4 linked regions of the Diceros bicornis minor genome follow. The protein of the gene in region 1 interacts with the protein of each later gene in a pairwise test. Links are inferred from orthologs where the notes say so. Each region holds a gene or a part of one and is shown in the gene's direction. Other genes may lie near its edges. The genes, in order: CEP70, PSMA1, MFAP1 and KANSL1.

Region 1 (7,631 bases):
TAAAATCCCTAAAATTACAAAATATTAAAGTGATATTATCTAAGAAACCGTCCTCACAGTTCATGAAACTATCTTCTCCCTATGGGTGCACAGTTGGATCATTCCAAACAAAGTCACCTTAATATTAATAGGATTAAGAATCTATCGGTTTACCCACAACAGTATTCTAAGCTAGGCTAGAGAATAACGCTTGGAAAGGTCAATAAAAAGGCTGTACTTCTCCCTCCCTCCATTTAAAAAGCACAGTATTTAATTTTGGCTTTTCTTTTTCAGATCCAGTCCCTCCAAAACAAGAACTCCCCAAACCTTGCACACTTAAACCAGTGACTAGGGATTCATTTTAACAAAAAGCGTTCTCATTTGTTATACTAACACTGAGAAAAAGAGAAGTCATGGAAGACACATCCTATAATAGAGATAAAAATGTTATGGAGAACAGTAATTCTTGTCATTACTATAGGAAATCGTATTAAAAAAATAAAAGATTCTGTGTTGTCAGAAGTTTCTGGCACAACTTAAACACATATTTTTGATGTTACTATTTTTATATAAAACATATAACTACATATGTTTATATATAACATATATTTATATATAATACATAATTAATATGTTGAGATAAGTAGCATTACAGCAATAATGATCATGGCTAACAGCTATTAAGAGGTTACTGTGTGCCAGTCACTGTTCCAAGAGCTTTACACATATTAACTCATAGAATCCTCACCATGAGATGGGTACTATTATTATCCCTATTTTATAAATGAGGAAACTGAGGCTCAGAGCGGCTAAGGGCTTGTCTAAGGTTACAGTGTCAAGTAAGTGGCAGACGGGAGTTAAACCTAGGACGCCGGCTCCAGAGTCTGTTCTCTCAACTAACTCCTACTCTTCATTCACTCTAATCTCCTTTGTTTGCTCTAAATCAGAGATGGTAAATGGATTTTATATCATTCTGAAGCGATTTCCAAGAACTCTGTGCTGAGAGGGATTTGGAGACCTTACACCCAGGTCCTGTGGGAAAGGATGCCACGTTAGTGGTGGCCACCTCCACGCCAGGCATTTCCCACACAGTGTTCTAAACCACAGAAAAGCAAAACCATGCATTCTGCAATCTTACAAAATGTGTCCTTAAAAAAGCAGCCTGGATAAATAACTCTTCTGAACGATGAAAACAATCCTGAAAGTTTCAAAAGCTAGTTTTATTGCAATGCAAGACATTTACCTTTCGTCATCTTCAAAGATTGGACTGTCATCTCCAGATGCCATGGTTGGCAAAATAGTCTTTAATCCAATTAGCAGCCAGGAAAGAAAAAAGCAGAATTGCAGCAAAGAAAGAAGAGAGCAACAAAGATGACATCTGCAAAGGGTTGTTCTAACGTTGCAATCCATTTCGTAAATTGCATGTAGTTTCTGATGAAACAGCTTTTACATACAACAGAATTGCAATCTCTAATTTTCAGGGAGAGAAGTTAAATCATACAAATTGGCCAATCATATTTTTCCCTAGTTTGGATTTATAATTTCCCAAAACTAGAGAATAAACTCTAGTTCATTTCAAGTATTACACCACACCAGAGCCATAAGAGACAAGTCCTCTGGGTCCCATGCTTCTCAAATTGAGGCACAAGAAACCCCAAGGGTATGAGGCAGTGGGTCAGGGAATACATAAAACTCCAGGATAAACAGAATGCATTTTCTGGAGGAACCAACGTTACAGGGTGGTAACAAATTTAAAATGCAATCTTTATTCTAAATTTCGGAAGGCTATATTATGGAGGAATATATAATTTAAAAAATTTTTTTACTTCAAAGAAATGTTGATTTTGTAGGAAGCAGCCAAGGATATGCTAGTTTGCTTTCTAAGAGCAAGCTTAATTTACCCACCTACTCAAGCCCACTTAATTTACTAGTGCCAGTAAGGAATCCACAGAAGTTACGTGGTTTGCTTAGGTCACTAGCAGGGCCCAAGCCAGAACTAGAGCCCAGGACTCCTGTGCAATTAATTAAACAGTAACTGGGCTGTAGTGCTAATTAAATTTTACTAAAATCAGAAGCACACATGTACTCAGATGCTTAGGAAACTCTCCACATTTGAAGATTTGGGATTAACAGGTGTACCCCTGCCAAACCTATTGGAAAATAAGCTCAACCGTTTTTTGCTCACAAGATCTACTCTAGCCTTCTCCCTCTAGATGCCCAAGGGTGTTCTCGCCTTGTTAAAAAGGAGAGATTGCCAACTTTCTTAAACTGGAAACAGCTAGAAGCCACAAACGGTTTTTAAAAAGATGAACAGATTAGCACCCATGAAAGCAACCCAGTGGGCAAAGAAAAGCTAAGAATTTTAGAATAAAAACTAGGTAAAGATTCAAAACACTTTGTACCTAAAATAAATCCCTCTTTTTTTACTAGCACCTTACAAATGTGTGGATTTTTCTAGTCTTAAGAAGCCCTAGGATATCTTCTATGAAGGTGGAGGGTATCCTGCAACTGTGAAAGCAAAGAGAAAACAGAGCAAAAGAGCAAGCCAAACAGCATAATATAAACTTGGATAAGGCATCCTTTGTAAATCAGAGTGGACTTAGGGATATTATTCAAATTTTGCTCTACAACTTTTAGAGATTCTAGAAAGTTCAGTAATGCAGCATTCAAACTTGAAAGAATTGCCCCGTTTTCCATTATAAGGAACTTCAAATATTACTAAATCACATTAAGATAAGGCATGGTAGCGTCTTAATTACTATAACTTTTCATATGGAAGTGTAAAAGACAACACAACAAATTAGAAGGGAGTTAGAAATCAAGATCACATCTCTTTTTTTTTAATTTTCTCTAAACTATCAACATTCATTCATACATCCAACATTTATTTATGGAGTATCCACGTCAGGTGTTAAAAACGTTTTGGAAATAGACAGTGGTGATGGTTGCACAACATTCTGAATGTACTTAATGCCAACGAACTGTACACTTAAAAATGGTTAAAATGGCAGTTTTATGTTATATATGTTTTAGCACAGCTTAAAAAATTCATACTGTAATATACAAAAAACGTTTCATGCTTTAAAAAAAGAATTTCATGCTTTAAATAGGTAAATTGTATGGTATGTGAATTATACCTCAACAAAGTTGCTTAAAAAAAAAAAAAGACCTAGTTGCCCCGCTGGTTGTGTTTCTTAGAATGTACTTACACCTATAACGAAGAGGTGATCACATCTGTCCTTGTCCCCCGATTTCTACTTTACTCATGTAAACGGGAAATATCTGTCACACACAGATATCCAAGTTACAAACTGGACTTAATAAACATGTCATATTCTGAGGTCATCGAGCACGCTAAGTTATTGGTCACTTCTGTGCCAGGCATTGAGCTGGGCACTAAGCTCAGAGTGAGGGACTCTGGAGAGACCAAAAGATAATTACAGCACAGCCATGGCGGTGTCCTTGTAAAGGGGAGCAGTAGAGGACAGAGTGGCCCATAGAGCAAGGACCCTAGCCCTGCCAAATGTGTGGCAAGGCCAGGGAAAGCTTCGGTTTAAAACTTGGGAGAAAGGAATTAATCCACTGTCATTTTTAAACTCCTATACATACACTTAACGTTCAAGATCATGCGACCAAACTGGAAAACAGGGACAAAGAAAACTTCCCTCTATTTTAGCACAAAGTTTTAAAAATGTAAATGAAAAGGATGGAAAACAAATTCCATTTATTTTGATTGACGGGGACAATGTCACTCATCTGAAACTTCTTACATGTCTTCAAAGAAAGCTTTTTGAGTATCTAGTGAGGTACCCATCACCATAATCTTTTAAAATCCCTTCCCTAGCAACTCAACACCCATATTTCAGAGTGCGACTTAAACATTAACACGTTTCCACTGTTCATCTAACCCCAGCTTGAATGTTGCCTTAACTTAGGTTTAACCGTACTGGGGACTGCAGTGGTTTGTCCAAGCTGAACGCAAGTCAGTTTTTAAAATTACTAACAAGCTCACAGTTCCCTTTTCAGCAAAGCTCCCGGTAAGGCCAGCCACAGGTAGGTCCCCCTTCAACAAACGGGTGCTGACACTGCACGCCCGGTCCCCCGTGAAGCACTGGGACCTCCAGCAAAGTCGGTCAGGAAGCTCCTAGAGCCAGGTATTCCCAAACGCTAGTGGAGGTACAAAAACGAGAAAAACTCTTCTGAGGACCATTTTGCAACCTATAGCACAAGCTTTATGAGGGATTAACTCTAAACAAATAATCATGCCCCCAACAGCAGAAGGAACAGTGCTCAATGGAATTGCTTTTTGTAAAAGCTAAAAACTGAAAACCACCTTTATGTTCACCATCAAGGAGGGACTCCGTTAAGTAAATCACAGTCCTTCACTCAACAAACTGAACGCCCGGCCCGGGCCGGCGCCGGCAGGGTGCGGCGGTCAGGCGGGCACACAAGCCCGCAGTCTAGCGCGGCCACCAAAAACGACTTGGAACACTTACAGCCGCGGGCAGATGCACGTGCTGGATTAGTAAGAGAAAGAAGCCAAGTTACAGCACTTTATAATCCAAGTTCTGCAAAAATAGCCTGCTCACGCTGACAGGGAAAAAGGGGCTGGAAAGAAACGCAGCGCAGTGTAACCCGGTGTCTCCGGGGAGCAGGGGGTCGGCTCCCGGGCTTCCTTCCCGGGCTTTTCTGCGCCGCTTTTCCACAGCGACAGGTACTAATCGTATGGTTGGGCACGAGGCCGAGGCCGGGGCGGCCGGTCGCAAGGCCTGGCCGGGGAGGGGCGCCCCGCTGCCCCCGCCCGCGGCCGGCCGACGGGAGCCGCGGGAACTCGGCCGGCGCGGGCGCGGGCGCGGGCCTCACCGCAGGGTCCCGGGGCCGCGCACACCCCGCCGCCCGGAGAAGGCCGCCCAGGCCGCGCGCGGGGGCTGCCAGGGGCGCCCCCCGCGCCCCCCGGGGGCGGTCTCACCTGCACGCCGCGGCCGCGGGCGGCTCCGGCCCCGCAATGCAGGGGCAGACTCGGCGCCGTAGGCCGCGGGGCCTTGCTCCCCTCGCCGAGAGCGGCAGCCGCTCCGCGCAAGCTACAGCCCAGCGCGCCGGCTCTTTGTCGCGCTCCCGGGCCCCGGCGGTGCCCGGCGCAGGCCGCCGCCGCCGCTGCCGCCTCGCCACTCGGCCGCGCCAGCCCCGCCCGCTGCCTCCGCGGAGGCCCGGCCTCACCCCACCCCCACCCCGGAAACATAGTCCCGCACCGCGTCCTGGCGTCCTGCCGGCAGACGTCCCTAGGAACCAGCCGAGCGCCGGCGCTGGGCGGGACGCTGGGGACACCAGGTGGGCAGACACAGCCCCCGGGCCTGCTCTGAAGCCTCGGAGCAGGCAAACCTGATCCGGCATTCGCTGCTTGCAACCTGTTGATGGCTTCTGGTTACTCCTTTAGTTTAGAGACCAAAGCTCCTTGTGGGCGTGAGGCCCCGTGTACGATGCAGCCCCTGCCCAGCCGGCTTCATTTAGATCCTCACATGGTGCGAGCTCCTTCTCACCCCAGGGCCTCTGCAAGTGCTCTTCCCTCTGCCTGGACACGCCTCCCTGCCTCTTCCCTTAGTTACCCTCCATTTTTGTTGTCGAGATTGTTCCTGAAATATTTCTTAAGGAAAACTATCCCGGCCCCTCAGACTTGCAGCGCCTGGAATTCTCTTAGTTCCTTTCAGGGTGTGCAATCATTCGTGTAACTTTTGATTAATGTGTAACTTAATAGTAGACTGAGGTATGTGAAGGCAGGCACCGTGGCCGCTTGGCTCCCTCTCTTCCATCTCCCACGTCTGCACAGTGCCGGCTCATAGGAGGCTCTGATAAATTATTGAATGAAGGACAGTGTCCCCTGCACAGAGGGAGGAAGGTTGTTGAGTGGGCCATCTGAGGAAAGAGGGAGTGGTCCCCGTGGAGAGTGGGCCGAGCAACAAAACAGAGACATGTGAAGGGATTCTGGAGGGGTTCTGAGGGCCCAGGGGATCTGGGGGCATAGGGGCATCCAGGCCCTATTGTGCAGTTGCTTCCTGCAGCTTGATGTTGAGGTAAAGAAGGATTATTTCACCTTGGCAATCGGTAGGGTGGGTGTGGTTTCTAGATGCTGAGCAAGTGTGTGAGAGAAGGGAGAGTTGAGAGATAACAGGGAACAATCTATTGATTAGGTTGTTAGACTGGTTAGTCTGCAAAGTAATAATGACTGAATTCTTCAGCAAGTTATGTTACAGGAATTCTGCTTAGTGAGCCCTGATTTCTTGTTTGCTACCCTGTATTGAAAGCTCCCCAAAGATGAAGACTTTTCATATTTGTTTTTTTCTTCTGCACTGGTGTCTTGAACAGAGAGTTTTCAATAAATACTTGTTGAAAGAATGAATTAGAGGGGAAAAGTAAAAGGCCCCAGAGTGGAAATTTCCAGAGATAGGACAAGGCTAGCTGAAGACACCTCCCTAATTCCTTTTTCCTAGTCCTTATTTCTTCAGAAAAACAATCCTGAGTTGTTGGGCTAGGACCAGGAAACCCTGGTTGGGCGGCAGCTCAAAGATATTGTTCAATGAAGAATCATATTTTCTTACAAAACTTCAGGAGTCGGGATATCTTTTACAAGACCAATAAGGTGTAATTTGTTGAATGCTTGCTATGTGCCTTATATATGATGGCCTGTGGTGCTCACTAGAGCCCAGTGATAATATTTACACCCATTTTACAGAGAGACCCAGAGCCCTTCAGAAGTTGCAGGGCTAGCATGTGGAAGCGGGCCTGTGGCATTTGAAAAGTTCATGGTAACAGGGCCTATTATTAGAAAAGTATTAATTGTGCTTGAAGAAAAATCTGGGCCCTGTCTTTGAGACCTGGGGAATCCCTCTGCCCAGGGACCCCAGAGTGCAGTGGAGTTCACCCTACCCCTCGGTGCCTATTCTGCACCCAGAATAGGCAAGGCAGTCTGATTCCTCAGCTGGCTTGTTCTGTGCCACTATTTCCTCTTTGGGTATAGTTTCTGGGGTACCTGAAGTTAAGGAACATGCTAGTTTGGGCTATATTGTCCACCTGCTCATTCCCTGGGCCTAGGACACTGGAGACAGGAATAGTCACTTGTTACTAGACAGGATTGTTATGGAAAGAAAGAAATTCTGAAAAAAGCACTGTGAAACTTGAGTATAAAACATACTCTTCCAGGCTGATCCTGCTTTTTTGTGTGTGTGTGAGGAAGATTGTCCCTAAGCTAACATCTGTGCCAATCTTCCTCTATCTTGTATGTGGGACACCACCACAGCATGACTTGATGAGGGGTGTGAGGTCTGCCTCCCAGTATCTGAACCCACCAACTCTGGGCCGCCAAAGCAGAGTACACCACTGGGCTGCCCCTGATCCTGCTTTTGACTTTATTTTCAGTCAGATTGTTTCCTTGTTTCCTGGCAAGTACCCTAGATGCTGTTCTAACCTCTGAAACTGCCTCTCACCGACTTACCCATAGACATCAGTGTTTTATTTTAAGAGAACAGCTAAAAATGCTTTCATTCACATTAGTCCGTGTTTTCGTTGGGCCTCCGTTTGAAAAGGGAACTGTTAATGGGTTAACTGATATTCTGAACTTGCTTTTTAAACAGCATGAATAGAAATCAAAATAAAAGGAA
Region 2 (7,175 bases), on another chromosome or scaffold:
TGAGGCTCTAAGAAAGTAAAGCACCAACTATTCCCACATTCCACAGTAAAGTGGAAGACCACCAAAAGAAGAAATTGAATGAGGGGGGGTGCTGCTTTTGCAACTCAACTGTCTACCCACTTTTAAGTCAGAAAAAAATTGAAGATTTTGAGAGGGTTTTTGGTGTGGTATGTGTTGACATTGCTTTTTCCTCTCCTAAGGCCTAGGGAGAGGCTTTAATGGAACTTTGATAAATGACTTCTAGAGTTGGGGGTGGGTGTCGGTGGGGGGGTCATAGAGGATTAGCGTCTGGCTCATATCTGAGGAAATCATTCATTCAATCCTTATGTAGCTCTTATTAAGTACAGGCACTATTCTAGGCACAGGTGACTACAGCAGTAAACAAAATAAATGAAAAGCTCCTGCTTTCATGGAGCTAACATTCTAGTGAAACGTAGGCAGCAAGAAATTTTGACTGACTAACTGGAAAGATAAGTTTTAGATTTGGCCCAAGTCTACACTCCCAGAGGCGTGAGGCAAAGCCACTCTGTGGGTGTTTCTTTGGATTAGATACGGGCCACTGAAGGCAATCAAGTGGAAGCATGAGGAGATCTGCGGAGAACGAAGCTGGAGGTGTATACCACAGATGTTAGCAACTGACATTGAGCTAAAGGCCAGATGACATGTGTTTACCCAAGTGCAAGTGAGAGATTGCCAGTATTTGCTCATGGGGGTAAGGTGAGGATGGAGGTGTTTCCAAAGAATACATAAAGTAACAAGGGTCAAGTGTAAACACCTGCTAAGCTCAGAGAGCATCAACTCTTAATCACAGAACTGTACTAGCCAAGTTAAGAACACTCTTGCTCTTTCCTCTGTTTCAACTAGGGAGAAGTAAGGCAACCCAGCTGGTAGTTGTGGTGAGAGGGGGCGTTAGGGGAGAAATTTTAGGCAAGTACGTAGAGAGGAAGTCAAGCATTCCCCTTTTGCCGTGGTAGCAGGGTCAAGCTGGGGGAGGGAAGGGGCTTTGCCCCTAAAGTTTTTATTATTATATTGAACTTATTAATTACTGATCTGAGGCTGTTGAATTGACTAGTTAACTTTTTTTTTACTTGAATGTCAGAAGAGTCATGATATTTGTGCCATATTTCATCCAAGGATCAGGGAAAAATTAACTCCACAGGGTTTGTTTTAACTTGTGTTGGGAAAAGAGTGTTATTTGCAATCACACCCTACTCATTTGTTCAACACTCCAAACACAGTTGCTAAACAGAGTAACACAATGAGATTTACATGTCCACGGGAAAAAATTTTCAACTTGCCTTTTATTTAGAATTTATTTTTATTTGATTCTAAAAAAGTCTGATATAACTTACCAATGACCTTTAAATTAAAGAAGTAGTGCTACATTTGCTGACCCAGTCTTCCTAAAAAATATGTTTATTGATCAATTTTTCAGCTCCTGGTTAAGGACCAAAATGTATCCTGAGCCAAATTCCCAAAACATGAATAGAGGAGCTGAAAGTCATCTAAAATCTTTAGTAAGTGCTTAGGATCTTCCCTTTTGACAAAAAGGCCAAAAATGTCCCTTCTGATGGTTTACAAGAGGAGCTTTGAAAAGAGCCATTCTGAAGAGGCTAGCCAATCACTGTGAATGAAGGATATATCCCAAAGCCCCAGATATGTGCTTAGGAGATAATAATCAAAAGGACAGGTTTTAGAGTGAGAGATGCATCATTCTTTCATTCATTCATTCATTCAACCAATGTTTAGTGAGTGCCTACTATAATGTCAGGCTTTGTTCCAGGCACTAGGAATACTTCAGTAAATAAAAGTTGAAATTTCCTATCCTTGGATGTTTATGTGATTTTCTGTTACATAGTTACAATATCCCCACCCCCACCCCTCCACTTTTACTTGAGCTAGCTTCAGTGGGTTTATTTTCTTTGTATCCAACAGGCTCTTTCTATAAAAGTAACACAGTAATAAGAGGTTAACATCCCTAATGGCAGGGAGTTCCTACAAATCAGTGAGAAAATGATTAACACAATCATAAATTGAGAAAAGGAATGAAGTGGCAATTCACTAAAGTAACATAAACAGCCAAAACATATCTGAAAAGATTTTTTTACTAGTAATCAAAAAATACAAATAAAATTAAAGCAAGAGGTTTTTTCTCTTCCTGCCTATCAACTTGATAAAGGTAAAAAGTACTTTTACTATCCAGTATTGGTGAAGGTATAATGTGGACTCTCAGGCACTGTAGAAAATAAATTGATATAACTTTTTTTTTGCAATTTAGCCATATTTATCATAATTGTAAATTTGGGTTCCCTTTGAACATCAATTCTATTTCTATGAATTCATCATAAGGAGGTAATCAGGAAAGCATACAACATGTGTGCATGTACAAGAATATTCATTATAGTACTTTTATAACAGCAAAAACTTGGAAATAATCTAATTGCTCACCCATTGCTAAGTAAATTATTGTATTTCTACACAATGGAATACTAGGCAACTATTGAAAATAATACAGATCATTACTTATGGACATGAAAAGGTGGCCATAACCTTTTAAGTCTAGTATAAAACAGTCTAGTATGATTTTATTTGTAAAAAGAGTTATATATTTATTATACACAATGTGTGAGGCATTTGAATATATAGAGATATGTAGAAAAGAATGTTTACTATATAATCATTTTTAAAGGATCATTTATTAATCATTCATTCAACATTCATTCATTTAATAGTATTTATTAAGCACTTAATATGTGCTAGGCATTGCGCTAGGTGCTAGGAAACAAAAGAGAACAATCTGTTAATTTAAATCTGTTCATTTAATCCACTAAATTAACAGTGATTTTGAAAAATGACAACAACCAGTATTGGTGAATTTAGGGAGAAGAGCACTCTCATATACTACTGTTGAGAGTATAAATTGGTAAAACATTTCTGGAGGGCAATTTAGCACTTTTTATAAAAGCCTTAGAAATATCCATTTCATTTGACCCTAAAATTCTATGTTTAGGAGTTTATTCTAAAGAAAGGAGTATAGATGTACACAAAAAAATATATCAAGCAGGGATGGGGGAACCTAAATATTAAACAATAGGGATTTGGTTAAATAAAATATCATATGTTCATAACGCAGAATACTAGGGAGTCATGTTTAACCTGGAAAATGTTTAACATGAAAAAATGTCCAAAATATATAACCGAAAAGGTTTAAAAAGAGTGAGATACTAAAGTGCTCGGAACTTGAGCAAATCACTTAAGTGATCTGGGTCTCTTATTTCATCTGCAAAACTTAGATCTTTAAGGACGCTTTCAACTCTTACCTTTCCGGCGTCTAGTTACTCATCCTTTCTTCTTTGTAAAGAAAATAAGTCATTGGCAGTAGGTAGATATTAGGTGGGCAGCTGTTTGCAGAGTGTCCTAAACTATTTCATTTGGGACTTACTAAAAGACACTCTCAAAAGAGAAAATGCGTGTTTCAGAAGAAAATGTCAACTTTTTTCCTTAGTAGCCTAGTATATCAGGCATCGTGCTTGGTTTTGAGGGCACAGAAAGACATTAGTGCCCTCAAAGAGTTAAGTCTGGTGGGGGGAAACCAATAATAGCGATAAACAGTGATCAACGACAGCAAAGCCCTGAAAGATGAGTTCTCCAGGGAGTGGGTGAAAGGATTTCAAAGTAGAAAGAAAAGCATGTGCACAAACAAGATACTCAAGGAAGGGTATGGCTGACACACAGAAACGGTCCATTATTTTGTAGCTTTTCTTGCGGTCTCCTTCTTCTCACAGACACACAACACGCCAAATCTCTGTGGACGCCGAATGAGAGGGTGAGCGGCCAGTCCGTCACCCAGAGTCGCAGCTGTCGTCTCGAGCGATTTCAGGCGGATCCGGCTGAGTCGGTGAAAACTGGCGGGAATCTGCAACACACGGGTAATTTCTCCGAGGATCCAAAAGGGTGACTTGATAGTGGCCGCTCCGCAGCTCTTAGCCCTAGCGGGCACTCCTGGTCCAAGCTTTCCCGCCAATATCAGTTCCTCCATCTTCCGGGGCCCCGCCCACTATCGAGACGGCCGAGAACTTGGAGGGCGGGGGAGCACTGAAAGCCTATCGATATTTCTGGAATAGACTGCTCTGGCCTGCGCCGCCGCCGTCAAAATCCCGCAGACTTCTCAGTAGATCGCCGAGCGGTAGTTTCGGCGGTGCTCCTCGATCCGCAGCTTTGCAGGAGGTGGCAGTCAGGCCCGCGCCGGAGCCATGGTGCGTCGGATTCCGAGCCCAGGCAGGGTTGGGGCAGAGGTCCGCTGACTGGGGGATGGCGAGCCGTCTCTCCTGTCATTCTTAGAGCGGCCCGGGGCCACGGGGCATGGGAACCTCAGCCGACGGGAGGGTTCCGGCAGTGATTCAGCATCTCTGGCCTGGCCGGGAGAGGGGCGGTCGGTAGTCGGTGCGGCCTTTCCCCGGGCTTGTTTCCCTTTCCACCGGGCCTCGGACACCACGTTCTTGGTGTACTAGCGGAGTTCGTTCCTTCAGTGGAGTACGTTCTGAGCGGTCCAGAGTGACCCCTCGTGCTCAGTGTGGGAGAGAGGGGAGAAAATGGGGACTTGACTTAAGAGGCCTCCCTGTACTGCCAAGTGCGGACCCAGGGGTTGGGTTCCTGGACCGCGTCCATTTACCTGGTGGGCTTGTCTGATATCTCTCTCCTCCAGAGCTCGATCAGAAAAGGCCGTTTTCAGTCACTTTGTCCAGTCACCTGGTTTTACAGATGAGTAAACCGAGGCTGAGAAAAGTAATGGAATGAGGATTACAGTCTAGGGCTCAGGGCTTCCTGTCCTATGTCTACCTTTCCAGCACCTCAGCTTTCTCATCCCCATGGTCATTCTCCCAAGTACTGTGCTGGAGACTTGTTTTAATGTGGTCACTAAAGCAGTAACGGTTCTGTCTTATAGTATTTGTGTCCACCTCTAACTTCCTGAGGATATTCTTGTGTTTATTCATTCAATATGAATGTTTATACAAGGCACTGTTTTAAGTGCAGTGAGGGTTCAAAGATAAATCAGACATGTCCCTAATCATAATATACGGTAAAAAGGAACATGTAGATAAAGAACTGGTGGGAGTATGCGTTGGATTTTGGGAGAAAAGATGGAGAAGACTTAAAGAGATAGATATTTGAGCTAGTTTAAGGAAAGAGAATGCTTTTGACCATTTATTAGGGCCCAGTCTAAAGGAAAAGCATAAGCAAAGAACGGAAGGACAGTTGATGCAAATGAACTTCAGTAACTGCACCCAAAAGGAGTGCTGTGAACACTGGTAGAATTGGCAGTGGGAAGATAGGTGCCATTTAGATCTGCCCCCCACCATTAGCTCATGGTAAATGTAGCATTGGCTTGCAACTGAGTGCAGTAGTAATCTTCAGTGAGGTTGCATTAACAGCTTTGCATTAATATTGAGTGGAAACAGATGGGAGACCATTTTTTAATGATAGAGCTTGCTAAGATTTGGAATTTGTAATGCTCTTGTATTAATGGGTCTTTTTTCTTTTACTTTCAGTTTCGCAACCAGTATGACAACGATGTCACTGTTTGGAGCCCTCAGGTAAAATAATGTTTTATACTACTTCTATGAAGTAGCTTTTGGTAGCTGCAGTGTGTTTATAAATTCATGACATTGTAGGTTGGGAGAAAATGAAATATAACTGTTTTAGACATTCCTGGAACCTAAATTTATCATTAAAGTAAGTTTCCTACTTAAAAAAAAAATCATTTGAGATTTAACTATGCTCACCTGAGATTTGGGAACTCTAACTTTAAATATATAAAAGCGTCTTATAAGATGACTCTAAGATGTGTGGTTTTTTTCTCTTTAGGGCAGGATTCATCAAATTGAATATGCAATGGAAGCTGTCAAACAGGGTTCAGCCACAGTTGGTCTGAAATCGAAAACTCATGCAGTGTTGGTTGCATTGAAGGTAAGTAAAGCAATAAATATATCTTCCTCCTTTAGAAAACAGAACTATCAAATGTAAGTTTCACTGTATAGATAATAAAATTGTAAACTTGTTTTTGTGTTTTATGACATCTCTATTTAGAGAGCACAGTCAGAGCTTGCAGCTCATCAGAAAAAAATTCTCCATGTTGACAACCATATTGGTATCTCAATTGCGGGACTTACTGCTGATGCTAGACTGCTGTGGTGAGTATGATCATGAAAAACAAAAGAAATACCCTTTTTGATTCGTAATTGATTACATTTCTTGAAAAGATCCAGATAAGATATTTTAGGAAGCTGACTGCCAGAGTGTTTGTAAGTTAAGCTTGTGAATACGTTAGTGGATTTGGGGACAGTTACTAAGTATTCCATTTCTTGATCCCTGTCGTAACTAATAGAATTGACTGTATTAATATTAAAGCTTTTAGGAAGTCACTGAATAATACTTGTTAACTCACTATATATTGTTTGAGACAATGTTATGTCTAAGAAGAGCTTGACATTTTTGTCTGGTTTCTAAGGATCAGCCGAACTACCTTTGCGTTCTTTAATATGCCAGTATTTATTAGACATTTATTTTTCATAAAGCACAGTACTAGATACTGCAGGATATACAAAGGTGAATCAGACATAGATCTTGTCTTCTAGGAACTCAAAATCTAGTAGCGTATCTATAATACAAAGTAGAAAGTGGAGAGTAACAGGTAGATTTCTGTGAGAGGCCAGAGGAGATAGAGATTATTTCTGGTTGAGAGGCGGTGTATAAATGAAGAACTGGGGCTTTGAAATCATGCAGATTGAGTTTAGTTCCCACTTTCACCACTTAGTATCTGAGATTGGGCTAGTTACTTAAACTCTCAATTTTTCTAGTATTTTTCTGTTTCAAGGTCATTGTTAAATAGCCTAACACATAGAGCACTTAACATAGTGCCTTTCAGGTAATATATGAGTGTGTGTGTTGGGAAGTGGGAGGTCATTTGCCAAAATTAATCTCTTAAAGTCTGTGATTTCATTAGGGAAGAAAGAATATAAACACTAAGGACAAGTAGTAAAGCTAATGTTTAAGATTTTCAAGTTATCTAGCAAGCCTCCTGCTGTCTTAGGTCAGCAATATAGTGACAGCATTATCGGTTTCTGTCAGCTCTTGAAAATGTAAAATATGTTGCATTGTCAAACGTTTTATTTAAC
Region 3 (7,074 bases), on another chromosome or scaffold:
AATCAGAAAGTCTGGTGGTGGAGCCCTGCAATGGAGTTTTAACAAGCCCTCCAGGTAATTCTAATACAAGCTAAAGTTTGAGAACCACTGATCTTATCCAATTCCCTCACCGTAGAGGTGACTAGCTTAAAGGCACAAGGTTTCTTAGAAGTGGCCATGCCTAAAACCTAGGCTTCCAATGCATTTATGACTTACCACACACTGTGCCACCACAGGTGCTAATCCTTACCTCTGGGACAATAAAGCATAAACTGAATTCCTATTTCATAATACCACCACCTCAATTATCCTATCTCCCTTTCCCTACCATCATTTTCTGTTCCCCTAGTTCCATCAACCTTTTTGTCATGTGGTAGGGTTTTATCTTGTCTTGCATAAAATTTGTCACTTTAAATGAAGTACAACACTCCTGGTAGGCAATCGAAGCCAAAGGAGTTAGATGCCTAATTCCCTAAACTGATTCTATTATTTTAAACAGAACTAATAAGTGTTTCTCGTGTATCTTCTCTACTCCATCATTTGTCTCCTTTTTGTATTTAATGGAAATATTATTCAGCACATCAATGCAATCAATTAATGATGATTTTCCTACCCTGACATCAAGGGTCACTCAAATGCCATATGTCCCACAGGCCAACTTCTGGTATATTGTGCATAAATACGTAAAGGTAAGCAAGATACCATAAAGTATGCGTAAACTCAAAAATATATGCAATAAACCAAGAGGAAGAAAAAGGGAAGCAGAGTGAAAATTAAGTTAATCCTTTCCTTGACAAATCAAAACCAAGAGCAAAATTAACTCAACAAAGTTATCTGTTAAACATTTAAAAAATTTTTCAATTAAACATAAATTAGATAAAACAATCTGCTTGAGCTAGAGAGACCTCTGATAACCTTCACTTACCAGAACTTCAAATTTTAAACTAAGAAAAATTTGAATAAGCTGGTATTTAAATTCTTACCAGGCCTGGTGTGGTATCTTCATCACTGTCTCCATCCTGACTGCTTTCCATATCAACACTGAGAATCACTGTATCTGAAGTGCTCTTGTGTCCTTGCTTGTTACTTTCAGTATGAACATCTAAGGATGATTTTTGCAGAGTGGATTCTGCCTTGGAAGATGTGGCTTCCATCTTTGGAGTTAAAATTCTTCTGCAAGTTTTCTTTATTTCAATCTTCTTACATTTCTTACACGCCACTTCATTGTTAGAATTCTTATCTAAGAGGGATTTGGGGCACTTAAGTTGGTCTGGTTTGTAATTACTGAGTGAAAAGGGGACAAGACACACCTTAGCTGTTTTTCCTAAAACTGTAGTCTGTACTGGCCTTGGAGATACAAAATCAATGTTTTGGTTTTCTTTATATTCATTCACCTGTTCAGGTCAATAAAGGAAAATGGAGAGTGTTAGAATCCCAGATCCTATGTCTTTTCTTACAGATCTGTGTAAATAAATCTCATTCCTATTTCATAATAACAACATAAATCCAAACTGATAGCCTGTAAGGAAACTTTTTTCCTCCAAAACCTAGATACTTAATTCATTAACCTGAATAGAATTATTTATTATACTGGGCACATTTCTTGCCCATATGAGTCTGCCAGACCAATAATAATAATGACTACAATTTGTATCTAAGGTGACTCTACCCCAACTGTCAGCTTCTGAGTAAATGGAATTGTTTCAAGAGTAGGAAGCTGACACTAACTGCTGCAAAAGCAAATGCAGAGTCCCTGATCCCATCCTGCCACTATTTCTGGGGTTACTGACAAGAACCTTCCTCAATGCCGCAGCCTACTCTCACAGAGGAAACCAGGGCAGGGATCCCCGCTTATCTTTTGAAGCAACACCCCGAAAAACTCTTTAAGCTGAGGGATGCCCCAAGCGGCGGGAAATCGTTTTGGAGTGAGGAGGTGCCGGGTGCCAAGTCCTGGTGCCCTCCCGGGCCTGTGCCCGGAAGATCCCTCTCGAAGACTGAGTCAGGAGCACACCCGAAAGCGACAAGCCCTTTCTCACCTTCACCTGGAGTCGCTGTCTGGAGCCAGCCTTCTCAGCCACCGCGCGCGACCCGGACATCTTTCCGCCGCTTAACAGCTGGCGTCTTCCCGCCAAGATTGCGGCGGGAGGCGGGGGTGGGAGGGAGTGGGAGGGGCGGAGCCCGGGCGGCGCCGGCGGGCGCTCAGATCCCAGCTGGCCGGGGGGGAGGGGCGACACGGGCGTTACCGTCGTCCCTTAAGGAGCCAAGCCTACCAGCCTCACCCCCAACTCAAATTCTTGAGGGACGCGATGGGACCGAATCGACATTTTTACCTTGGATGCCGGTGATTTTGATGTTGCTGACGCCAGTATCTCACTTTGAAAAACACTGGCGCTTCTGCTGAGGATAAGCCACCTTGCCTTACAACGTGAGGCTGGAAAAGATTCAGACGCACTTAGATGCCGGATAGAGAGCAAAGGAAATCGCAATCAACATGCAGCCCTTACCTCGGCCCCCTGGTTCCTTATACCACCACCAGGAAATTAGGCCCCATGGCTACCACATTATCTTATTCCTAGGAAGGGAAGTTTTTTTTAGTTTTTTTTCAAGAGCTGATAACTTAAGCTAGTTTAAATTTCACCTGATCATCTGTCCACCAGTTAACTAAGATCCTAATGAGGACCTTACAAAGCCCAAAGGCTAGGGAAAAGTTGTGAATCAAATAATTTTTGTATCACAAAGTAACATAAGATTTTAGTGCACTGTATTTCTTATAGTCGCAGCGATATTAAATTTTTTTTTCTATTCTCTGGGTTGCTGTGAGCCAAAACAATTGCCTTCCCATCACACTCCCTCTGGACAGCATAGTTTTGGAGCTGATAAATTCATAATATAAATTTCTATCTACTTTATTTTTAAGGTCCTTTTCTTTCTAGCCCAAAACTGCTCCCTTGGTTGGTTATCTGAGTCCTCCACTGTTCCTTTTATTTCTTCTGCCAGCCTAGGCTCAAGTTGAGAACACAAGTGAAATAATTTGAGAACTAATCCTATTAACAGCACCTTCAAGGCCCTACTTGATCTGGTACCTGCCAAACTTTCACCACTCCTTGACTCAAAAATTACTGATAAAATCACACTTTTCATGGTGTCTGATATATACGCTATTTCTGGACTTCAAGACTTTGCTCATGCTGTCCCTTCCCTCCCAACCATAGCAGTTTTAAAATCCCTTCTACAGTGAAATGTGTTCTGACTTCTAATTAGCCAATTTTTTTTATATAACCGAGCTAGTAATTGCGATTGCTTCTATTATGATTCTATAAGCCCTTGAAGACTTCCTAAATTAAATTAAAGCTTCTTGAGGATACGAGCCTTTTAACAATATTCGTTACTGCTTACAGAGAGCTAAGCACAGTTAACACAGCAAGTACTTAATAATTACTCAAAGACTTATATACAAACACTTCCCAGCCAGGAATATATTTTAAAAGGTGGTCTCCAGAAGCGGAAAGAACCAGAAAGCCTAAAAGTAGAATGTTCGGATTTCAGGCGTTGACTCAGGCCCCCTGGGGGATTTTTTTTCTTTCTTTCTTTCTTTCTTTCTTTTTTGCCACTGGCCTAAATCACCGCGACCTGCCCTCGCGTGACCAAAAAGTACCGCACCAAAACCCACTCAGCCTCATCAGCTAAATTAATCAGACACTATTAGCAGGATTTCTATTCCGATTAAACTCTAATTCTGAGCTTTCTACAGTCTGGACAAACTGCCCTTCACTATCTCCTCAGTGTCTTATTCATCACTATCCCATTTTCCTCGGCTTCAAACCAAGCTAACAAGCGAAACCTTTCATTCGGACCTTCCTCGCCGCAGGGTCTTAACCGCAAAGCCCAACCGAAGCAATTTCCCGCCACAACCGACGTCCAAATATGTACTTCCAGACTGAGGACGCTAGGGCAGCCTATGAACATGCGCAGTAACAGACTCGGTGTTCTAGCGGTAGTCGCCCAGAGGTCCTCCACAATCCCACAATCCTCTGGTCGCATATTTCCGGTTTTTCTAGCCCAGCCGTAAGTGGCGTTTCTATCAGTCCCGCAGCCGTGTCTAGCGGCTCTAGGCTGGGAGGTGTTTTCTGTTCGTTGACGTTGAAGCTGTTCGCTGTTTGGAATCAGTAAAGTTTCGGGAGTCACCGCTGCTGTCGTCAACATGTCGGTCCCAAGCGCACTCATGAAACAACCGCCCATTCAGTCTACGGCTGGGGCCGTCCCGGTTCGCAATGAGAAAGGTACTGTGCTGAGCCGTTTTCCAGTCGGGTCTTGCCTCTTCCTTCCTCAGCGTACTCCAAACCTACCCCGGGCCGACCACCCCAACCCCACCGACCCTTAAGACCCTGCCCCCTATTTCTTCGACTTTCCCCGTCACACTCGCACCCGATCACGTTGCCTAGGGTAAAGAAAACCCACTTCCATCTCATCTTGTTCCTATAGCCTGTCTGCCCTCACCTACAGCAAGCACCTATCTTCCCTTGGCCTCCACCAATTCGTTAGACTAACATATATAGTGAATGCCTGTTGTTTGCAGGGATTTGTGCGGGATACAGTCCCTCTTTTTTTTTATCCATAGCAGTCTGTTTATGCTGCTTTTATAACTCATCGTTATAATTATTTATGTATCTGTCTCTCGTACATCATAAGCTCATAACCTCCTTGAGGCAGGAACTATGTCTTATTAAACTTTTTATCCCTGTCAGCCAAGGCAGTGACTGTATTTATTAAATTGAATACAAAGTTGTGTAGGACAGTCCCCCTAACCTTAAGGAACTCGTATTCTAATAGATGTGAGACATGCAAAAAGAGGCACATTCTAAACAGTGTACAGTCTTTCACACCTGTAATACCTGTCACTAGGTGATATAAACCAAATACTGTGGGAGGGCAGAGGAGGAATAATCTCTTCAGATTGGGGTAATCAAGGAAAGCTTGAAAGAAAGGTGGCATTTAAGTTGATCCTTAAAGGACAGATAGGATTCCAATGAGTGCAGATGGAAGAAGGAACACCGTTTCTGTTTGAGGAGTCAGAATAAAGAGTCAGGATTTTTTCATTAAGGGTTTTGGAAAATAATAACAGTTCTTACTTTTGTGTTTTTTGAATATACTGAACCCATCCTTGTGCAGCTTGCCTTTTTTTTTTCTTTTAACTCAGCATGGCGTTTGAGAAGTATCCTTTGGATACATATGGATCCAGTTCATTCAGTTTAATTGCTTATAAATTCCATTGTATAATTAAACCACAGTTTATTCCCTACTGAGGGACAGTTGTGTTGTTTTTTCTCCTATTACAAACATGCTGCAATTGTCATTCTTAAATGTGTCTCTTTAGTGCACTTGTATAAGAATTTCTCTAGGGTAGACTCCTAGAAGTTCATCTTCAATTTGTTGCCAGTTGCTCTCCACAGTGGATTGTAAGAGCATTAGGAGTTTTTATTTCTCCATGTGTTTATCCACACCCTTGGTTATATCAGATTTTTTAATTTTTGCCCAGTCTAATGAGTGTGTAACGATATCTCATTATTTTAATTTACATTTCCCTGATTTCTAGTGGGACTAGGCATCTTGTTCGTGCGTTTATCCACTCTCTGGGTTTTCTCTTCTATGAATTACCTGTTTCTGTCATTTACCTGTTTTCTATTTGTTTCGTTTTTTTTTTTTTTTTTTTTTTTTTTTTTTTGTGAGGAGATCAGCCCTGAGCTAACATCCGCCAATTCTCCTCTTTTTTTTTGCTGAGGAAGACGGCCCTGGGCTAACATCTGTGCCTATCTTCCTCCACTTTATATGGGACGCCGCCACAGCATGGCTTACCAAGCAGTGCGTCGGTGCGCGCCCGGGATCCGAACCAGCGAACCCCGGGCCGCCGCAGCGGAGCGCGCGCACTTAACCGCTTGCGCCACCGGGCCGGCCCCTTTGTTTCGTTTTTATACATCCTAAATCTGTAATATCTATTTCCCCAGGTTTTTTGGCTTGTTTTTTAACTTTAGTTATGGAGTCTTCTGTTACACAGGCATTTTTAGTTTAGTGTTATCACATTTATCAATTTTATCTTTTATGGTGTGTGCTGTTTTGTATACTGTTTAAGAAGTCCTTCCCTACACTGAGATCATAGACATTCAGTTTTCTATCGTCTGAATGTTTGTATATACTAAGTAGGATTGAATACACAATTGTGCAAGACAGACTAAGTTAAGGAGCTTACAGTCCAGTAGGGATGTAAATGTTTAAGATAGGTTTTTCACACTTCAGCCTTTAATCTATCTGGAATTTTTTGTGTGTATGGTGTCAGTTAGAGATCTAATTTTACCTTATTATCTTAGAGTTAGCCAGTTGTTCCTACTACTCCATTGTTTGACTAGCCTATCCATTCTCCATTGCTTTTTTTTTTTTTAAGATTTTATTTATTTCTTTATTTTCCCCCCAAAGCCCCAGTAGATAGTTGTATGTCGTAGCTGCACATCCTTCTAGTTGCTGTATGTGGGACGCGGCCTCAGCATGGCCAGAGAAGCGGTGTGTCGCTGCGCACCCGGGATCCGAACCCGGGCCGCCAGCAGCGGAGCGTGCGCACTTAACCGCTAAGCCACCAGGCCGGCCCTCCATTGCTTTTTAATGTCACTTCTGTAATATAGCAAGTTCTCATATAGGTTGTTTCTCTGGTCTCTACTTTGTTCCATTGGTCTCTATGTACCCCGAGTCAATGACATATTGTTTTAATTCCTGTGAATTTAAATAAGCCTTGCAATCTGATACAAAAACCCTCCCCCCCACCTCACATTCTTATTCTTTTTTTTGTTACAACTTTATTTTTTTAGAGCAGTTTTAGGTTCACAGCAAAATCGAAGGGAAGGTACAGAGATTTCCCATATACTCCCTACCCCCATACATGCATAGCCTCCCCTATTATCAACATCCCCCACCAGAGTGATACATTTGTTACAATTAATGAACCTACATTAACACATCATAATCACCCAAAGTCCATAGATTACATTAAGAATCACTCTTGGTGGTGTACATTCTGTGGGTTTGGACAAATATATAATGACATATATC
Region 4 (7,311 bases), on another chromosome or scaffold:
TTATATGCCCAGCACCTGATCAAAAAGTAGAACATTGCCAGCCCCTGAGAACAATCCCCACTCCCAATCAGATGAAACTCCCTTGGCCACATACTGGCTCTCCTGACTTTTATTGTGTTCACTTCCTCTTCCTTATAATTTTACCACCTATCTATGCATCTCTAAGCAATGTCGTTTAGTTTTGCCTGCTTTTGAACTTTCTATAAATGGAATCATACTATATATACTCTTTGTATCTTGTTTTTTTGTGGGTCTTCAATAATATCCCTTTGTAAAAATTTATTCATGTTCCTGAATATAACCATAGTTTATTAATTTTCATTGTACAAATATAACACAATTTAACCATTTTATCCTTGGTAGACATTTGGGATGTTTCCAATCTGGGGTAATGAGGAACAATGCTCGTATGAATATTCTTGTACAGTAATCCTGACACTTAAAACTCTGCATTTTCTTATAATATATATCTAATAATGAGACTGCTGAAATAGAGCATGCATATCTTAAATTTTATTAGATTATATCAAAGTCTTTTCCAAAGTGGCTGTACCAGTTTACACTGCCATTAGCCTTGTACGAGAATTGCTGGTTTTTATTTATTGATTTGTAGGAGGTCTTTATGTACAGTATTATGGAAATTAGCCCTTTGTAATATAAGTAGCCAAAATTTTTTTCTGAGTTTACAATCCCTTTAAAGAGGCACTGATGTTCTTTCCCCCTAGAGGAATGAAAATGTGACTGGAAAAAGTGGAGTATTCTAATTTTGAAGGATTTAAATGAAAAATAAGTGTTCTGGGTTAACTTTCTTATTGCTCTTAATTTGCTGTTATATATGTCATTAATACAAATAATCATACCAGGAATTTTCATGGAATGCCCTGGAATATAAGATGCCAAATATAATAATAATGATAGTTAAAAACTGAATGTTTAGACTCTGTCAGGCACTGTTTCAAATCCACTCTATGTATTAACAATTTAATCCTCACAAAGACCCTAGGAGATAGGTACTATTTTTTGCACCATTTTACAGATATATGAAATCAGGAGCTGGATTGAAGGTGTTTTCTAGGGCTGATTTAAGCAAAATTAATAACTCAGAGAAAAGATTTTTTCTTAACTGATAAAGATGTTTTCTTTTTTTTTTTTGTAATTTTATTTATTTATTTTTTCGCCCAAAGCCCCAGTAGATAGTTGTGTGTCATAGCTGCACATCCTTCTAGTTGCTGTATGTGGGACGCGGCCTCAGCATGGCCGGAGAAGCGGTGCGTTGGTGCGCGCCTGGGATGGAACCCAGGCCGCCAGCAGCAGAGTGCGCGCACTTAACTGCTAAGCCACGGGGCCAGCCCAGATGTTTTCTTTTTATAATTTTTTTTTCCTTTTTGGGAATGAATGATACTCCATCCTGGGCTCCTTTTCCCCATCTTCTCTGTAATATACCTCATAGCTTTCTCTCTTCTTTTTTGAATATAGACAAGATGTATTTATCTTTCTTCCAACCCTCATTCATAATCCCTGTTCTTTGTGTCACGGGGGGCATCAGGCATCTGCAGGGGGGGACTGGGAACCAGAGAGTGCTCCTAGCAAGTGTGGAAGAGGAAGAGAGAGACAGAGATAAGGGGTGAAGGGCAGGGTCACATCCCGGTGTGGGTGTGTGGAGGGCGGGAAGGATGATTTTTTTAGGTAAGGTTTCTTAACCTGTGGCCCACAGATTACGAAATCTATGAACTTGGATCAGGAAAAGTAATATGCCTTTATTTTTGCTAAAGTCTAACAGAAAATTAGTGTTTCCTTCAATTACGGATGGAGACAACAAATCAAGTAGTATTAGCAGTGTCTGCGGTTTTGTCACCAATAGAAATCATATGTACTTTCCTATTATATGATAGTTGTTGAAGATATCTTATCTTCAACATATATTATCTATGCTCATTTACTTCCCCAAATTTTGGTGGTCATTAGGCCTGCCATTATATCATACTATTTAATACATCAATATAAAGCACATATATTATTACATCACACTTGAAAAAATATTTTGAAAATTGTATATATATTTTTTTTGGTGAGGAAGATCGGCCCTGAGCTAACACCTGCCAATCCTCCTCTTTTTGCTGAGGAAGACTGGCCCTGGGCTAACATCCATGTCCATCTTCCTTTGCTTTATATGGGACGCTGCCACAGCATGGCTGGACAAGCGGTGCGTCTGTGAGCATCAGGGATCCAAACCGGCGAAGCCCAGGCCAACGCAGCAGAGCGCGCACTTAGCCGCTTGCGCCAGCAGGCCAGCCTCTGAAAATTGTATTTTAATGTAATTGGTTTCCTTTGAATTCCTTTGTATGTGTTTGAAAACATTCTGAGAAGGAGTCCACATACTTTAATGGACTGCCAAAAGGGTTTGTGGTGCGAAAAAGTTAAGAACTCTGCTTTATGGGTATTTTGTTGGCTTTCGTTCTTATTTAATGAGCCTAAACAGGGCCCCTGAAGTGAGCCTCAAGATGGTGAGGCTCTCATAATTTTATTATTCTATTTTTCCAGAGACCTTTTCTCCCTGAACTTTCGTGCCTCTTCAATATTCTGTTTTTCTTACCTCACTGACCCTTTTCCGTTTCTTTTCATCCTTCTGCCTTTAACTGTGGGTGTCTCTTTACACGTCTATGGGGAGTTTATTTTTTAGCACGTCATGGATCACCATACTTAGGTGCAGAACCCTAAACCTTCCCTAGTCCAGATGGCTCGCCCTCTCCCAAGGTCCCCAACTCCAGCTGCTGCCGGCACATCTCTTCTTGGTTTTACCACTGGCTTCTGGAACTGAACATATTAAAAGCTAAGATTCCTCCCCAAATCTGCATGTTGTCTCACTTTGCCTGGACAACCGTCTTGTCTGTCCCCCTGGTTTTGCGGCCTTAGAATTATTTTAAAATTTAAATCAATTAATTAAAAGAAATTGGAATCTTTGTGAATGGTACAAAAATCAAAAGACACAAAAGGATATGCAGTGAAATGTAAGTCTTCCTCCCACCTGGTCCCCTAGACACTCAGCTCCTCACCCAGGAGGAAACCACTGTTGCCAGCTCTTAGAGGGATTTTTGATTCCTTCTTATATTGGCTATATCTCAAAGTCTTTCCCTGTCTGTGAGATGTGTACCCTTTCCTTTCCAGGCCCTCATGACCTTATATCTGGTTGACTTCATACATAAGTATTTGTGTGTGTATATTTTATATACATATATAAAATCTCCCCCTATGGCCTTCCGGCTCGAGTTTTCATCACGTCGCTTCCTGGATGAAGAACCTACAGGGCTGAGGGGCCGGGGTTGGGGGTGATGGAGAAGAGGATCTAAAGGGGACTTAGGTAGGGGGTTCGGAGTGGCAGATTGGTGGGAAGGTCTACCAGGATTCCTATTTCTATCCCTCCCACCTCCAGGCCCCTTCCAGTTCTCTCGTCCAAATGTCTCTCGTTCCCAAGAGCCGAGACAGAGGCAGAGACAGCGAGATATACAGAGACAGAGACGCCGAGGCACCAGCATCCCTCTCCCCCTTCTGTCCCGCCCCACCGCTCTGACGGACATCTGCCATCAGCCAATGGCGCTCACGATGTGCCCCGGAAGGGCCAATGAGAGACAGAGGAGGGCGGAAGATTCCCCGCCCCCACTTCTAGGCTTGGTTGAGCCGTGCAGGTAGGTCCGGGGCCGGGGGAGCAGCCGTTGGCACTGGTGCCCCTGGGGGTAGGGGCACGAGTCGGTAGGGGTGATGGCGGGGAAGGGGAGGCGGCCTCGACTGCGGGAGCCCGAGGGGGCGGCCCGGCCGGGAGGCGGGGTGCCGAAGGGCCCGGGGAGCGGGCGCCGCCGAGGGCCCTGGAAGCGGCTGGACTGGGGGAGCGGACGCGTGTGTGGGGCACGGGGACCCCCGCTCCGCGCCCACCCGCAGGCCTGGGCCGCGGGCTGCCGGCCGAGGGGCCAGGGGCCTGGTGCCCGGGGGGCGGGCTGGGCTGGGCCCCGGGCCGGGGGCGCCGAGCAGAGTCCGGGGCGCCAGGCCGAGCCGAGGTGGGACGGACCGACGCCGAGAGGAAGGGAAGCTGCATCCTGCGGGCCGCCCCTCCTGAAGCGAGCCGGGGCCACGGCCTCAGGCGCCCCTGCCCTGAGCCCACTCCCCCCGCGCCCCCGCCCTAACAATGGGCATGGGGCAGAAGGAGGCGCCCCTCTGAGGGAAGGGGGGGGTAGGTTTGGGACTAGGGTCCACGGTGGGGGGAGGGGTGGGAACTCGGGCTCTCTCCTTTCTCTTCTCTTGGCTTTCGCGGTGGGGATCATGGAGGGGCTGTTAAACCCTCCTGAGACTGGGGTCAAGAGTCAAACCACCCCACCCCCCCTGCAAAAAAAAAAAAAATCTGACGACCGGTAAGGAAAGTGATGCCAAGTCTTCGTAGCCGAAGTGACAAACGCATAGCAAGAACAAATCCACTCCAGAGGTTTTTATTTTTAATTTTTCTTAAAAATGAGGGTACTGTAGTCTTCGATTTTTCGAAATTTATTTTTCAGAGGTGGGTGCTGTTATTTTTGTCCCTACTCGGGCAAGCCTCCATTTTAAGCGATGCAGTAACTGGTTAAGCTGGAATTTTCATTCAGGCCGAGGACTTGAACAAGGATCCTACAAGAGGTCATTTAAGCCATCCTCCTACCTGCAGGCAAACTTGCCTTCCTCCCATCCTCAAAATTAAGTTGTTTGTTCTGCTTTTAAAGATCTCTGTCTTTTATTTGCTACTAGCACTTAAGAATAGATTTTATTTTTCACGTAGAATTCGACTCTGAAACAAGCTTAATAAAATTTAGGACAATTGGAATGATCAGAGCGGTTTTAATTTATTAAATAAAAATTAAACATGACAAGGGTCTTTCTTAAAAGGTCAGTTAACAAATGACTTTTCAATCGTGTTTATGAAGTACGCTGGATAATCATTTTTCTATCTGGGATAATGGTTTTCTAATTATTTGATAAGCAATTTTGTATTATCTAAAGTATGTGTTACACATTTAATCCACTTTTTATGTAAAATATATTTCTACATATATATGGAGATACACACACTTGCCCTTTCCCAAAGGGGACTGTTTTGTACATCTTTTTAGGATGGTGAAGGAAGTAGTACTTCAAATCTATGTCTAGATAGCTTAAATTGTTTGCTTATTCTTGATTATTTTTTAGTCTAAATGCAAGTCCTCTCTTTCAGATACCTTCTTGAAACAAAAAATTTTTCTACCTGCTCCTACTTCGTCACTGAGGGATTACTACAACTCCCTTCTTGCTCATTTCTGAGTATTGTCTGAACTATTCCTGACACTATGAATGCTATTTGGATGCCTCTTAAGGTAAGATGTGTTTTTTTAAATTAAAGGCCTCATTTTATTTCTTTTCCTTTAGAAATGAGAATATTCTCGTTCTTAAATTTGCAGTCCTTCAACCCTCTCACCCACACTCTTTTCCCCTGGAAAACTACTATTGTGTTTGCTTCCTAGGACTGATTGGCTATTCCTTACTTTGTATTGCTACTATTGATTATTGGTCTTAAAATATTAATGAAGTTCTCAAATTAACTTCATTATCATGATGTGTTTATTTTTTAACTTTAAATTGTGACATCCTGCCTAGTTGTACAATTCTGTTCCAATCTCAGTGGGATGGATTGGCAATTCAGACATCCAGGTCCACTTTTGAAACAGTCATAGGTACTAGGGTGTGTCCCACTCTTGCAAATCTGTAGCTGATTCATGTGTTACAAAAGATGTGTCATTAACCATTTGTTTACTCTGAAACTTCATATAGTATATTAGAACATTCTAAGATCTGTTGGTTTACATGTACAGCTCTTTTGGAGAGTTCTGCTGCTCCCTAGTCCTTTGCCTGAGAATTTACACTATTTTTCTCAACAGAGAGCACTTTGTGCCAAGTTTAATCTCACAGAGTAAACCTCTTCTGGGCAGTGTGGACAGATGATCTTTAGATGAGAAAGCTCTCATTGATGTGGTGGTTCTCCAGGCTCTTGGCTCCTTCCAATCTCTTTTATATAGATGGCCAAAGGATTCTCCAATAGGACTAAGCAGAGGGCAAAGCCTAAGACGTGTAGGGAGGAAAGTAGGAGGAAGGATGGAGAGAGACAGATAAGGAGTGATGGAGTCCTCCACCAGCTTCACCAGGTGACATGTGTTGCCTTTCTTTGGAGCTAGATACTAGTGTAGTTAAGATTGTTGTGTGTTAATCTGCCCTGTGGAATTCCAGATTAATGTAGTGAATAAATCAGACAATAATGCAGTCTGTGTCACTTAAATATTTGGACTGTGGGAAATCTTTAGGTAAATGCAGACTGAGTTCTCATCTTCATTTATGTTCTAGCTGCTATTGTTGGGTGATGGGTGCTTATATTAGTATAAGGGAAGCCATTCTCCCTGTAGAGTTGGAGGGGTTGCGTGGGGGAACCCAGCCAGAAGTCCTGAACTCATAGGAATTGGAGAAGCTTGCACGAAACTATTTTTCTTTGGTATCAGTGTTTAGCACCAGGACCTGGTGGCCTCTGTTCTCTTTAGGAAGCAGTCAAGAGGATATCAGTGGGTACTAGTTCCCTATAAACCCAAGGAATTTGGGATCAATATATTGGATTTTATTTTACAGTTTCCTTGGTTTTAATTAATGTATTAGGTACATAGAGGCCTGCTTTTTAAGATGAAATGATGTTTAAGATTTTTCCTCTCAGTCTCTGAACCTAGGGTATTATAATATAGTTCCACAGTAACTCCTGAAGTTGTACCAAAGGCCTCTGGCAAGGCAGAAATACAGAATGGAAGTCAGTACTCCATACTCTGTGAGTTGCTACCTGTTAACTACTTAACAATGTAGTTGTGTGGCTGCCTTAATTTTATGTTCCCTACCAATCCTTTGATCAGTGGAAGACCTCTTCTGAGTCTAAACAATTTTTTTATTTGCTGACATTTTCCTCCTCCTTTTATTCCTTAAAAAAACTTAAAAACTGTAGTGTTTGATCTGGGCAGGAAAAAAGGCACTTTTTTGAGAGAAGAGGATAGCGTAGAATTTACAGGGTGAAAAAAGGGGGAGAGCTTTCTTCTCTTTTTCAGTTGTGAATGTCCTTAAAATCTTTCTGAGATGTATTTTCAGTTTATAGCTACTTATTTTTAAGTAAAAAAAATGGTAGGCTAATTAAAATGTATACTTTGGAGCCAAAATGTTCATTTTCTAGTTCTTACTCTTTGTTTCTGATTATCTTATTTCAGAATGAACTCTAGTTCTATCAGGCATTAC

What was found.
Region 2: the proteins of CEP70 (region 1) and PSMA1 interact in binary tests that used the Homo sapiens proteins (3 or more experiments, as listed by UniProt). The two-hybrid records come from large-scale screens. The link is inferred for Diceros bicornis minor from reciprocal best matches to the Homo sapiens genes CEP70 and PSMA1.
Region 3: the proteins of CEP70 (region 1) and MFAP1 interact in binary tests that used the Homo sapiens proteins (3 or more experiments, as listed by UniProt). The two-hybrid records come from large-scale screens. The link is inferred for Diceros bicornis minor from reciprocal best matches to the Homo sapiens genes CEP70 and MFAP1.
Region 4: the proteins of CEP70 (region 1) and KANSL1 interact in binary tests that used the Homo sapiens proteins (3 or more experiments, as listed by UniProt). The two-hybrid records come from large-scale screens. The link is inferred for Diceros bicornis minor from reciprocal best matches to the Homo sapiens genes CEP70 and KANSL1.

Annotation. Positions count from the first base shown.
Region 1 is NC_080741.1:14,631,554-14,639,184, forward strand, and holds the start of CEP70 (centrosomal protein of 70 kDa), read left to right. Parts: upstream 1-4,620; 5' UTR 4,621-4,693; intron 4,694-4,948; exon of another isoform or gene 4,949-5,111; intron 5,112-5,228; exon of another isoform or gene 5,229-5,457; intron 5,458-7,631. Other genes in the region: FAIM (fas apoptotic inhibitory molecule 1), read right to left, coding at 1,223-1,389.
Region 2 is NC_080746.1:72,487,366-72,494,540, reverse strand, and holds the start of PSMA1 (proteasome subunit alpha type-1), read left to right. Parts: upstream 1-4,173; 5' UTR 4,174-4,253; coding exon 4,254-4,256; intron 4,257-5,549; coding exon 5,550-5,594; intron 5,595-5,865; coding exon 5,866-5,967; intron 5,968-6,087; coding exon 6,088-6,191; intron 6,192-7,175. UniProt on the Homo sapiens protein: Component of the 20S core proteasome complex involved in the proteolytic degradation of most intracellular proteins. This complex plays numerous essential roles within the cell by associating with different regulatory particles.
Region 3 is NC_080744.1:41,112,229-41,119,302, reverse strand, and holds the start of MFAP1 (microfibrillar-associated protein 1), read left to right. Parts: upstream 1-4,060; 5' UTR 4,061-4,180; coding exon 4,181-4,259; intron 4,260-7,074. Other genes in the region: WDR76 (WD repeat-containing protein 76), read right to left, coding at 963-1,373, 2,016-2,075. UniProt on the Homo sapiens protein: Involved in pre-mRNA splicing as a component of the spliceosome.
Region 4 is NC_080757.1:44,760,566-44,767,876, reverse strand, and holds the start of KANSL1 (KAT8 regulatory NSL complex subunit 1), read left to right. Parts: upstream 1-4,303; 5' UTR 4,304-5,369; intron 5,370-7,311. UniProt on the Homo sapiens protein: Non-catalytic component of the NSL histone acetyltransferase complex, a multiprotein complex that mediates histone H4 acetylation at 'Lys-5'- and 'Lys-8' (H4K5ac and H4K8ac) at transcription start sites and promotes transcription initiation.